Linked DNA regions of Mus musculus. The protein of the gene in region 2 purifies or fractionates together with the protein of the main gene of each other region. This does not show direct contact. Links are inferred from orthologs where the notes say so. Each region holds a gene or a part of one and is shown on either strand. Other genes may lie near its edges.

Region 1 (5,905 bases), on a different chromosome or scaffold from region 2:
AAGAAGGTTCAAGGACCAGAAGGTTCAGTTAGGACAACTTAGCAGACTTGCAGTAAGCAGGCACACTAGCTCAACCTCAGCAACCCAGGTAGCGGAAGCAAAAGGATCAGTTCATTCAAATAGGAGGCCACCCTGGGCTACACAGTAACTCCCAGGCCATCTTAGGCTACAGAGTGAGACCCTGTTTCAAAAAGCTGAACTAACTAAATAAACAAAGTAGAACTCTTCATGTTTTACCTCAGACCCCACCACTGCCTAGTTCTTAGACATGAAATAAAACAGTAAGCAGCCCTACATTCTGGTACAGGGAGCACTGCTTGGTTCAGAGTGACATCCCCGCCACTGTGATGAGAGCCCCCCCATCTCCTCCTCACTGCTGTCAACAGTTCTTTGTTACTGGGCGGTCCTGAATCACCTCTTTCATCTTGATCACTTTCTTGACCAGCAGGTAGTGGTCCCTGTACCCGAAATGCAGCAGGAAGAGAAAAGCAAACAGAGCAGAAGTATAGAAAAACAATTGTACACAGTCCCATCAGAGCACCACATATGCATTATGGAGTGAAGAATGTAGTGTTTTGGTTTGTTTACAAACCCCAGTTATGTCATATGAGTATGTTTTTGTTTAATCCCAGGTGTGGACTATGGGGCTGCTTCAGTTTGCCTGCAGCCATTAACCATGATTGTCTCCTGCTCTAGGAGGGGTGTGATTTTTGCCAGATAGTTTAACTCTGGGGACTCTGGGGAGGGTATAGACACAGAGCCCCGAGAGAGCAGAGGGCACTCTGGGAAAGCTGCTGCTCCTGATTGCTGCTGCGGTTTGTAAAGTAATCATGAACAAAGTGAGCAAAGAGATGAAAAGAAGAAGTTGTAGATATCCTGATGACAGAGACCGGATGGATCCAAGGACCAGTATGACCTTAATCAGTACAAAGTCGCCTACAGAGGTCTGCACCCCCTTTTCCCTCTTTCTCACCTTCTTTCTCTCCTACCTAATGCTGGGGGGGGGGGGAAGGGCGTGGAAAGGGACCAAAGTGGAGAAGGGTTGGAAGGGAGGTAGAGGTATAAGAACACAATCAAATAGTAATACAAATATGCCAACAGAAGAAGGTAATAGCTAAAGAAATAATGACCCAAATAGAACGAATCTAACATCCGAGAAGTTTAATTAATGCCACATTGAAAAACCTTAAGGAATCCACAGCTAAACATATCAAGTTGTCAAAAAAACAAAAACAAACCCTTGAGCCGGGTGTGGTGGTGCACACCTTTAATCCCAGAGGGAGACAGAGGCAGACAGTCTGAGTTCAAAGCAAGTTCCAGGACAGCTAGGGCTACATAGAGAAACCCTGTTTTGAAAAAACAAAAACAAAAAGAAAGTAAGAAAGCCCAAAGTAGATAATCAATAAAACCAGTAGTTTAAAACCAGTAGTTGGATTTTTTTTTCCTCCATTAAATAAGTTCTTGTAGTCTCAGTTGGCCTGCCTGCAACTGGTTATGTAGACCAAGCCTCAAACTTGTGCCAATCCTTCTGCCTATTGTCTTTTGAGTTTTAGGATTACAGAGATGTACCATCATGCCTGGCTAACAGTTCATTCTTTAAAAACATTAACAAAATTAAACCATTAGGCAGACTGTACAAGAAAAAAAAAAGCAAGACTCAAATTACTAAAGTCAAGAATGCAAGTGGGGATGACATTATAGACCTTACAGAGTCGATGATTATAAACCATAAACAATGCTAGAAACCTAGACATACTCCTTCTGAGGTCAAGAACAATATCTACTTCTGCAAGTCCCATTCGACATCATAAAGAGAGTACCAGCCATAGCAAGGTAAATAAATAGGCAAGAGAAAGAAACAGTACAACTATCTCTAATCACCATGGCATGGTTTCACATGTAGAAAACCCTAAAGGAGCCACAAAAACAATGACAGAAAACATATCAGCATCAGGATAGCATCAAGTCACAAGATCAACGTATAGCAGAAATAGAAAATAGGACGTAGTAGTACTAGCTGGAAGTGGAGGTACACATCTAACTAAGACCAGCACTCACTGAGGAAGTGGAATCGGGAGTATAAAGCCAACAAAGGCAACATACACAGCAGATCCAGTAGAAGAAAGAGGGGGAAAGAAAGGGAAGGAGGCACGCAGGCAGGTAAGCAGACAATCAGGCAGACCTACCAAGTTCTACCCTGTCACATCCGTAGCAACTTCAAGACTAAGAGCAGTTGTCAAAGACAGGACACCAGACCCTGAAAGTCAGTCTTGGAGAGTCCACTAACTCAATGGTAAAATGGAAGAAAACTGCCATGACCTTAAAAGAAGTTTTTAAAAGGGAAGAAAGGGGAGGGGAAGAAAGCGTAGAACTGCAATCATCTGTACACTCCACTTCCCTAAGCTATGGGTGGCTATGAGAAAGCACTACAGGTACATCTTACTAAACGACGCTTTCACCAGTGGATGCAAAAAAGCACTAAGCGTTAAGCACTAAGCTGGGGAGCGGGAACCTGTCTTCTCATGATTACATTCCCAACCCCTAGCAAGGTGGCCAGGAGATGATAGGGATCCTTGTTTACTGAATGAATGAAACGCTTCATGGAAAACATGGGAAGGTGTACACAGAATTGTGCCTCGAAGACACAGAGAATAAACTATGAGCAAAGCCGGGCACAGGAAGAGTTTAGTTCTCTGTACTTTTACTTAGTGCTCCCTCCACAACTGGAGTAATTACATACAAACTGGAGTTGGTGACGAATGGGGGGAGGGGCAAGGAAAATGACATGTATAGAAGTTAATTTGGGCCTGGGGGGGCTGCAAGAATTCTGAAGTTCATCTCGGATCTTTCCTCATTCTTCTATTCACATCTCAAATTCAGATATTCGTAGACCTGTGCCAGAAATGCCCCCCATGAACCATCATTCATTCATTCATCACCAAATCCTGTCACTCCTCTCCAAACACTCCACAAGTTTCCCCATTCTTACATCACAGACAAGGAAACTGGCTTTCCGCACAGGCTCTCCAAGGGCACCCATCGCCAGTGCGTAGTCCTTCTGTAGAACTCCAACCTGATCCCTCCCAGACCCTTCAGGGGCATCTACACTCTCCCATCAACTCGCCCTTTCACACGGGGCGTTACCGCGCCCGATGGGCAGTTGAACATGTCTCCACTCATTCACTGCCAGCCACCCTTTCAATTGGCCATGTATGCACGGAGGGGCGCAGGCCACACGTCCTCCCTTCTGCTCCCCCAGGAGTCCAGGCCGGTCCCTGATCCTCCAGGCACTGACTCCGCGGCGGTCTCCCCGGGAGAGGCGGGCACCGCCGGGCATGCAGGGGGCGCTGGGCAAGAGCTTGGGGACTTCGCGTTGCCCGGCGCCGCGCCTCCGGCCGAAAAGCAACCCGACGCCCCATGTGCCCATCCGCGGAGCTCGCCCGCCCGCCCGCCCGCCCGTCCGCCGCACCTTTGCGCTCGGCCTCGCTCTCAGCTTCGCTCCCGAAGAGGTCCTCCATGTCCGCCATAGCAGCTTGGTCCGCGGCCTTGGCTTGCTCGGCTCGAGCCTGCTTTACGGCCAGACCCGTCCAAACACGACGTGTCGTAAAGAGCCGCACAAAGACCTACTTTACTTTTGTGACCTAGTTTTCTCCAGCACTCGGCTGGCTCCGCCCCCACCCCCTCCACCCCCGCCCCGGTGTCTGCGCTCGCCCGCTACTCCGTTAGCCCGCTCGCACGCTGTGCGGAGCTTGGGATGCGGGTCAGACTTGTTTACGACCTGTCAGCTGCGGCCAGGTTTCTTAAAAATAGTTGAGGGTGGGTGTGGTCGCTCTGCTCTGGGGAGGCAGATCTCTGTGAATACCAGGCCAGGTTCGTCTACAAAGCGAGTTCCAGCCAGCCAGCCAGCATATGTCTACATACGTAGATCCTGTGGCAGAAGAATAAGAAATAAGTCATTGAGAGCTCTAGCCTGGAGTAGTTAGTGGTGCACGCCTGTAATCCAGCACTCTAGAAGCAAAGGGTCAGAAACCCAAATTCATCATCAACTGCATAGCAACTTCAAGAGCAGCGTGGGATCCTTGAGAACCCCCACCCTTAAAAAAAAAAAAAAAAAAAGGGCTGGTGAGATGGCTCAGTGGGTAAGAGCACCCGACTGCTCTTCCAAAGGTCTGGAGTTCAAATCCCAGCAACCACATGGTGGCTAACAACCATCTGTAATGAGATCTGACTCCCTCTTCTGGAGTGTCTGAAGACAGCTACAGTGTACTTACATACAATAAATAAATAAATCTTTAAAAAAAAAAAAAAAAAAAAAAAAAAAGACCTGGTGAGATCGCTTGTCGGTAAATGACTTGCCCTTAAAGACTAAAGATCTGTTTTCCGAAAATCCAGCACCTACTTAAACTCAGGCACGGCTTCCAACATCTGTAATCCCAGCTCTCAGGTCCAATAAAGGACCTTGTCTTAAAATACAGATGCTGGATGGTGGTGTCTAGGCCAGCCTGGTCTACATAGCGAGTTCCAGGACAGCAGGACAGCCAGGGCTATACATAGAGATTCTGTCTGGGGGAAAAAAAATAAAAAAAAGTAAGGTGCTGCCTGGTGGGGTGAAGAGCATTTCAAGAATACACTGGAAATCGGCCTTTGGCCTCTAGGCACATGGAAAGTAGCTCTGTACAGAGCTTGCCTATTATGAGTGAGGGTTCAAATTCAATCTGCACTGGGGAAAAATAAAAGATTTAGGACTAGAAATCCCAATATGGGAGGCTGAGGCAGGAAGACAACTGAGAATTTGAGGCCAGCTGGGGCCACAAAGACAGCCTGGATTACTAAGGATGAAGCTTTCAGTAGTATTAGGTTAGTTTCTGGCAGTATTTGCTCATTTCTGATCTCTTCTTTAAATTACATTTATTAAAATAAATTTATTTTTAATTTTATTTCTTTAAATGTGCATGGGTGCTTTACTTTGCATACATATCTGTGCACCACATGCATACCTGGTACCTGAAGATGTCAGAAAGGGGCATCAATCACATTACCTGGGACTGGAGTTAGAGACAGCTGTTACCTTCCATGTGAGTGCTATGAATCAAACCTGGGTCCTCTGGAAGAGCAACCAGTGCAACCCAGCCAGTGTTCATAACCACAGAGCCATCTCTCCAAGTCTCCATTTCTAAGCTTTTTTTAAAAAGATTATTTATTTTATGTATATGAGTACACTGTAGCTGTACAGATGGTTGTGAGTCATCATGGGGTTGCTGGGAATTGAAATCAGGACCTCTGCTTGCTCCTTCCCCACTTGCTCCAGTCCCACACACTGTAGCTGTCTTCAGACACACCAGAAGAGGGTGTCAGATCTCATTACAGGTGGTTGTGAGCCACTGTATCATGCTGGGATTTGAACTCAGGACCTCTGGAAGAGCAGTCAGTGTTCTTAACTACTGAGCCATCTCTCCAGCCTATCTCTAAGCTTTTTTGGTTTTAGAATTATAGATAAGGGATTATAGATCAACATACCTATAAGATGGATATGGTTCTCAACATGTGGGTTGCAACTTCCTTGACAAATCTTTCTCTCCAAAAATATTTATGAGTCACAATAGTAGCAAGAAAAAGTTATGAAGTAGCAACCAAAATAATTTTATGGTTGGGGGCCACCACACATGAGGAACTATATTAGAGGGTCAAAGCATTAGGGAGGTTGAGAACCACTGCTAGAAGATATATTCTACTATATTACTGTTTTTTATGTGTGAAAAATGGGAGGAAATAGACTGTGGCTGTTGATAGCCTACCCAATATGATCTGCTTGGCCATAATGTAAATAATCACTTAAAATTCATCAGCAGTTTTAGATTTGTGTTAGGGGTGTGGGGTTTCAGAAATGGCTCTGAGTGCTGGGACC
Region 2 (5,905 bases):
TCATTCTTGCCTGTGGTACACTGGGACACATTGCTTAGGGGTATCTCAAAGACTGGTTGATCACCAATGTCAAAAGAAAGCAGCTGTCCTGTAAGGAAAGAGCCTGTCACATCGCAGACTCCTCCCCGAGAGGCTTCGGAAGCATCCCCACCAGTCCTGAGGCCCGTGAGCGAGGTCAGAGGACTGGAGGAACTTTGTTCACACCGTACCAAAACCAGGCACAGTGCCTGATGGACCGTACATGCTGGAGAAACCCATGCTAAACACACAAACTGAAATTAGCAATCAGAACCAAGGAAAGAGTACAGAAAGGTACCATCTGAGGCCCTCCTTCACCCCACCTTCTCCCCAAACCTCAAGCTTGCCCACTCACCTCCAAACTTCACTGTCCCCCAGTTCCAGCCCTTCACACACAGATCCTTCTCCATTAGCTCAAGGCGATAGTGAGTTTTGAAGAAGTCAGAGAGTTTCTCAAACTCCTGTAAATCAAACGGAGAAAATGCAGATCCAGTTAAACCTCTGGGTCTCAACACAACTAACAGGTCCTGAGAGTCTCTAGCTCAGGTCACCAATGTATCTTCCTCAGGAACTTCAGCTAACTGAGTATACCAACTCCAAAACTGTTTCAAAACAATTTCCCTTTGTTAGTGGAGACTGTTTCTAGAACCCAGATGCCTTCTGCCCTACTCTTCAAGGATGTCCTTCTTCCAAGCCTCTTTCCTTCCCTTAACCTTTGTGCTTAAAACCTTTTAAGTGCTAGAGACCTGATGGCCCAGCAGTTAAGAGTACTTGTTCTTGCCAGAAGACCTTGGAGTCCTTCTCAGCGCCCCACAGTGGTTCACACCTGTCTGTAACTCTAGTTCCAGCTGATCCAATGCCCTCCTCTGAGCTTTGTGGGCACCGGGCATGCACATGGTGCACAAGCTAGCAAAGCCTCATACAGATAAAATAAATACTTTTTAACGAATGAAAATTATTTTTTAAGACTTATTTATGCCAGACAGTGGTGGCACACACCTTTAATCCCAGCACTTGGAAGGCAGAGGCAGGTGGATTTCTGAGTTTGAGGCCAGCCTGGTCTACAGAGTGAGTTCCAGGACAGCCAGAGCTACACAGAGAAACCCTGTCAAAAATAAATAAATAAATAAATAAATAAAATTATTTATTTTATATATGAGTACGCTGAAGCTGTCTTCAGACACACCAGAAGAGGGCATCAGATCCCATTACAGATGGTTGTGAACCACCATGTGGTTGCTGGGAATTGAACTCATGATCTCTGGAAGAGCAGTCAGTGCTCTTAACCACTGAGCCATCTCTCCAGACCCTGAAAATATTTTTTAACAATAACCACAAAAACTTTTTTTCTGGGCCTCTGGCTAAGAGTAGTAAAGAAACTTAAATTCCCAGATACATGCATCACCTGAGTTTCTAAACTTTGTGTAGGTGATCTTTTGATGAAAGTGAATATTAAAACCAAGTAACTCAAAAGCAGCTCAAAATGGAAAAGCAAAATCCTAGAGCACCAAGCTAAGATGCTGAGCCAGGACAGAGGGAGCAAGTGGAAACCATGGTATAAGTTAAGATGGTAGAAAACCTCCTGGAGTCCAGGTACACGACACGTGTACTGAATACACAACACTGTTTTTTTTGTTTGTTTGTTTTGTTCAATAGTCTCCAACAGCCTTGCTTCGAGGAACCCAAATGAGCAGTAACATGATTATCAGAGAAACGCCAACTGTCTCTAGAAGATTAAAAATAAAAAAAGACAAGGCAGTTACAAAGAAAGTGGGTCACAGAACAAGATCGCTCACCGATTCGCGGAAGCCATCGTACTTGTAGACATGCCCATTCTTTGTGAGCAGTTTAAGCCCATGGCCTAATGCTACCCGACGCCAGATGCCTTCTGTCAACTCCCCAGCCTGGATGTTGTCCACTTTGCCCGTCTTGCTGTTCTTAAAGATGATACCCTGACGGCTCAATCGAAGCCTCCCATCATTCTGCCCAAAATACAGACCCAAAATCAGAACAGGGTAGTGTGTAGTGGATCCTTTCTACCCCTTACCCATGGGATGCAGGATGGCCAGAGTATCAATTGAAAAGCGGTCGTGGTGAAATCAAGTTAAAAGACACAACAGACATTAAGTCTAGACTGCAAGCTTGGCTCTGGCATCAGAAACCCTGTAAGGGCCCCAGTTTCCTGGTTTTCTAATACAACTCAACAAACTCAACATCTTGCAACTCTTTGAGACTTTGCTCACGTTTTCGCTTGGGGGACACACTGATACACTGTTTCCAAAAAAGTAGTCAGAGTTAAGCTTTTCGTTCATAGATTCGAACTCTTTCCCCCTCTCTGCCTTTCTTTTGCCCAAGCCATTCTCACCATGGACCCTTTCACCTCCTGGAAGATGTCGTTGAACTCCAATGTCTCTGCCATGTTCACCTGCCCGTGGTGGCCTGAGCACACAGCCCTAGGCTGCACCAGAGAAAACGAACCCTTCTCTGGATGCTGTGCCCCAATTCCTGGTTAGTTGTGTAGATGTCCAGCAGGGTGGGAATCTGAATTCGGGAAGGAGACTGATAAGCAAGAAACAACGCCACCTTACTCCGCTCAGCCATGTACCTGGTATGTCTCAAGTTCTTTGCTGCCTGGGGATCTTACTGACCCGTTCTGCAGGGCTCCTGAGGCCAAGGCCCAGGACCCTAGGTGCAGAACCAGGCCTATAGTGGCGCTTACACCCCAACCCGACACCCTCTCGGTACGTTCCACGGACAGGCACGGCAACAATCGGCGGAACCTGAGACCCGCTCAGAGAGCGCACCTCAACTCCGCTCAGAGGGTAGTGTCCTGATCGCAGAGACCCCACCACCCCGGGGCCCCGCGTGAATCTACGTTTCTCCCCCTTCTTTTAAAATGGATTCGCCCATTGCCCGCGAATTTGAACGCGGATCGATCCATTCCGATCGTCCCGCGGGGGAGCGGGGCCCATGCACACCAGGGGCCCAGGGATCGCGACCACCCACCTCTAAGAGCTGCAGCCTCGCGACGGCACAGTGAGGGCGGTGGGCGCAGGGGGACGCAGGGGAGGGGGTAGGGATGCGGGGGAAGGGATGCCGGGGAAGCTTTTCCCGCGTGCGCAGCCCCGCGTCCCGCCACCGGAAGTCGCGCACGGACCATAGAGAGGAAGACTTGGCTAGAACGGCATCATCCGGGCCGACCAACGGGTACATTCGCCTAGAGCGTCGGCACTCCCCCTGGTCGGCTAAAGCGAGAGGCTTGCTATGGAATCCCACGCGGCTGAATTCTTGACTAGAAAACGGGAACACTCTTTAGAAAGTTACAAGCTGCTCTTCAAAGACTAGATTCCGAAGGGAAATTATGCGGTTTTATTAGGTGTTCAGGTTTGTATGTTTGTTGGAATCATGCACGCCCCTCCCTCCTGTGAAATAATCTGGGAAGGAGTCTGTTGAACAAGAAAAATACAGAGGTGTAGCCCCACTAGCTGCAAAGGAGATGCGGGTGTCGGCGATTGTGCTTGCTTTCCAGCTGTACCCTGGCAAGTAGATCAGATCCTTTCTGCAGTGAGTTCACCTACCCCCAACACTATCCTGTCCATATCCCTAATTTGTGGGTTCTCAGGAAGAGCCTAGCAGATGGCTGCATTAAATTCAAGTGGTGGTGTCGGATTTACCTTTGAGCTAGAACTTACTTGAAATCACATCAGCCTACGTTGGCAGAAGCCCGGATGGCCTCACATAGCACCGGAGTGCATCTTGCAAAATCTGAAGCCAGGTCTGACAGAGATGCTTGAGTTTATCTCATTTTACAGATGAGAAAAATGAGACCACAAAAGATTTGCGACTGGGTGTCAGTCCATTACCATCAAAACTGGAACCTAGAACACAGACTCTTTAACATCAGCCTTTTATAATCATGAGGGTTCAGGGTTTAGAGTGATTGCTAGCATATGTCCTACACAAAGACAGGATAAGCCCACAGTTTCCCTGAAATATCACTGCACTGACTTGCTAACTCAGTCCTGGGATATGATATAGATAAAAATGTGTTTTGTCATTCGGTGCTTGTGGCTTTAACCACTATCATTGCTAGCACTATTTAGCTAAGTCAAACTGGGCTTAAGACATAATGAAAACCTATTAATGCAGCACGTTTCTAGGATCTGACAAAACTGTTGAAGATCGTTAAAATAGCCCAGCCTCTTAGGAGCACATACCCTAACAAAAGATTTTAATAACTTCGGGGTTTAAAAAGAGAGGGAGTTCAGTAATTTCTGTGCAACTTGAAGAGTTGCAACCAACTAGAGTTAGAAATAAGCGACTTTCCGCTTTGTAGTATTACAAATCTGTAATCACAACACTCAAAGACTGGGGCAGGAGGATTGTGAATTTGAAACATGGCAACATAACAAGTTAGACAACATAATGAGATGCTGGAGGGCAGAGAGGAGGAGATGGTAAGAAATGCGTGTCTTCCTCCCAGGAGACACAGAACTGTCAAGAACCCTTTCTCCCTATTTGTGCTATTAGATAGAAATCGACAGACACTCAAGAGTGGAGTTCTTGGCTCAGGCAGATGAGCTAACTCAAGAGTGGGCAGTTACAAGGGGCTTTGGAGAATACAAAGCAGCTGGTGAGCTGGGATAGAGATGCCGCGTAAGAGAACAGAATAGAAACAGTAGACAGAGTGCAGATGAAACATAAGTCCCAGAGGGCCCTAGCCAGCTGCATCTCAGGCAATCTGGAGCCCGGGATTGGAGACCCCACCCCTGCTGTGACATCACAGGGGAGTGGAGTGAAGATGAATAAAAAGGTGGTCCACCGCCCTGGCCCTGGACTGTTGGCTTCTAGAGTGTCAAGAGGAGAGACGAGGCACTGGACTACAGTTGCCTGGCTTATAGGAACTGGCTCTTTTCCTCAAGCCCCATTAAGCAGCCCACTCCAGTTCTTGATCTCTGTCTCCCAGTCCTGAGGTCTTTTCTCTCCTTGGGCTGCATCCACAGCCTTTCTGGGTGGCTGTGAGCACTTTCTCAGTATGAACTGTATATCAGACTTCTTCACCTACGAGACTACCAAGTCGGTGGTTGTGAAAAGCTGGACCATTGGGATCATCAACCGAGCCGTTCAGCTGCTGATTATCTCCTACTTTGTGGGGTGAGTCCATGGTCCTTCGGATGGTGGGACAGAAGGGCTACCTGATGTCCTTCCCTCCCTCTCCCAAGGCTGCTCTGCAGCTCCTAGACCCTCTTCTCTGGGAAACACTTTGATTTGTGGGAGCCATGTCCTCAGGATTGGCCTCTGCCACTCCCATCTAGACCCGTCTCAGGTGCATTATTTTACCCAGAATCTCTTCCAGGATTCTAGACACATACGCCAAGAATATGAGTCCATTCCCTGGTTAAGAAAGGACCCATATGGTCCATCTTCCCAGACCAAAACAAAAACAAAAACCAAGTCAGACCCCTCCCCACATTTCCCCATTCCCCTCCATTGAGTCTTTAGAGTCCCAGAAAGATAAAGGAACGCAGGAAGGAGGAATGAAAACCAGGGAGATGGGCTGATGTGTGGAAGAAGAACCAGCTAGAGAGGAAAGGGGAGAGCTGGCTTTAATGTAGACTTAGGAATTTCTTCTTGTCATAGGGCTAGATGGTGAGAGGTTAAAAAGCAAGAGACATCTGTTCTTGGAGAGCAGGAGAACTGCCCCCCAAGCTAGACAGAGGCACAGACACACTCAAGGGAAGACCTGCCCAAGAGAAAGGTACCTTTTCTGACTTAGTGTGGGGCTTTTCCCCAGGAATGCAGAAATGATACCTATTGTTAAACAGCATAAATTCTCGCCTCACTCTGTGTCATAAGACACATGCTAGGGGTTGCTCAAGGACCAGCC

The links.
Region 1: the proteins of Ssrp1 (region 2) and Leo1 fractionate together in Homo sapiens (co-fractionation; 3 studies listed by BioGRID and IntAct, with this or other methods). This does not show direct contact. The link is inferred for Mus musculus from reciprocal best matches to the Homo sapiens genes SSRP1 and LEO1.

What each region holds. Positions count from the first base shown.
Region 1 is NC_000075.6:75,439,200-75,445,104, reverse strand, and holds the start of Leo1 (RNA polymerase-associated protein LEO1), read right to left. Parts: upstream 3,582-5,905; 5' UTR 3,528-3,581; coding exon 3,470-3,527; intron 1-3,469. UniProt on the Homo sapiens protein: Component of the PAF1 complex (PAF1C) which has multiple functions during transcription by RNA polymerase II and is implicated in regulation of development and maintenance of embryonic stem cell pluripotency.
Region 2 is NC_000068.7:85,034,448-85,040,352, reverse strand, and holds the start of Ssrp1 (FACT complex subunit SSRP1), read right to left. Parts: upstream 3,234-5,905; 5' UTR 3,025-3,233; intron 2,903-3,024; exon of another isoform or gene 2,823-2,902; intron 2,578-2,822; exon of another isoform or gene 2,560-2,577; 5' UTR 2,438-2,559; coding exon 2,384-2,437; intron 2,001-2,383; coding exon 1,815-2,000; intron 480-1,814; coding exon 374-479; intron 89-373; coding exon 1-88. Other genes in the region: P2rx3 (P2X purinoceptor 3), read left to right, coding at 5,054-5,172. UniProt on the Homo sapiens protein: Component of the FACT complex, a general chromatin factor that acts to reorganize nucleosomes. The FACT complex is involved in multiple processes that require DNA as a template such as mRNA elongation, DNA replication and DNA repair.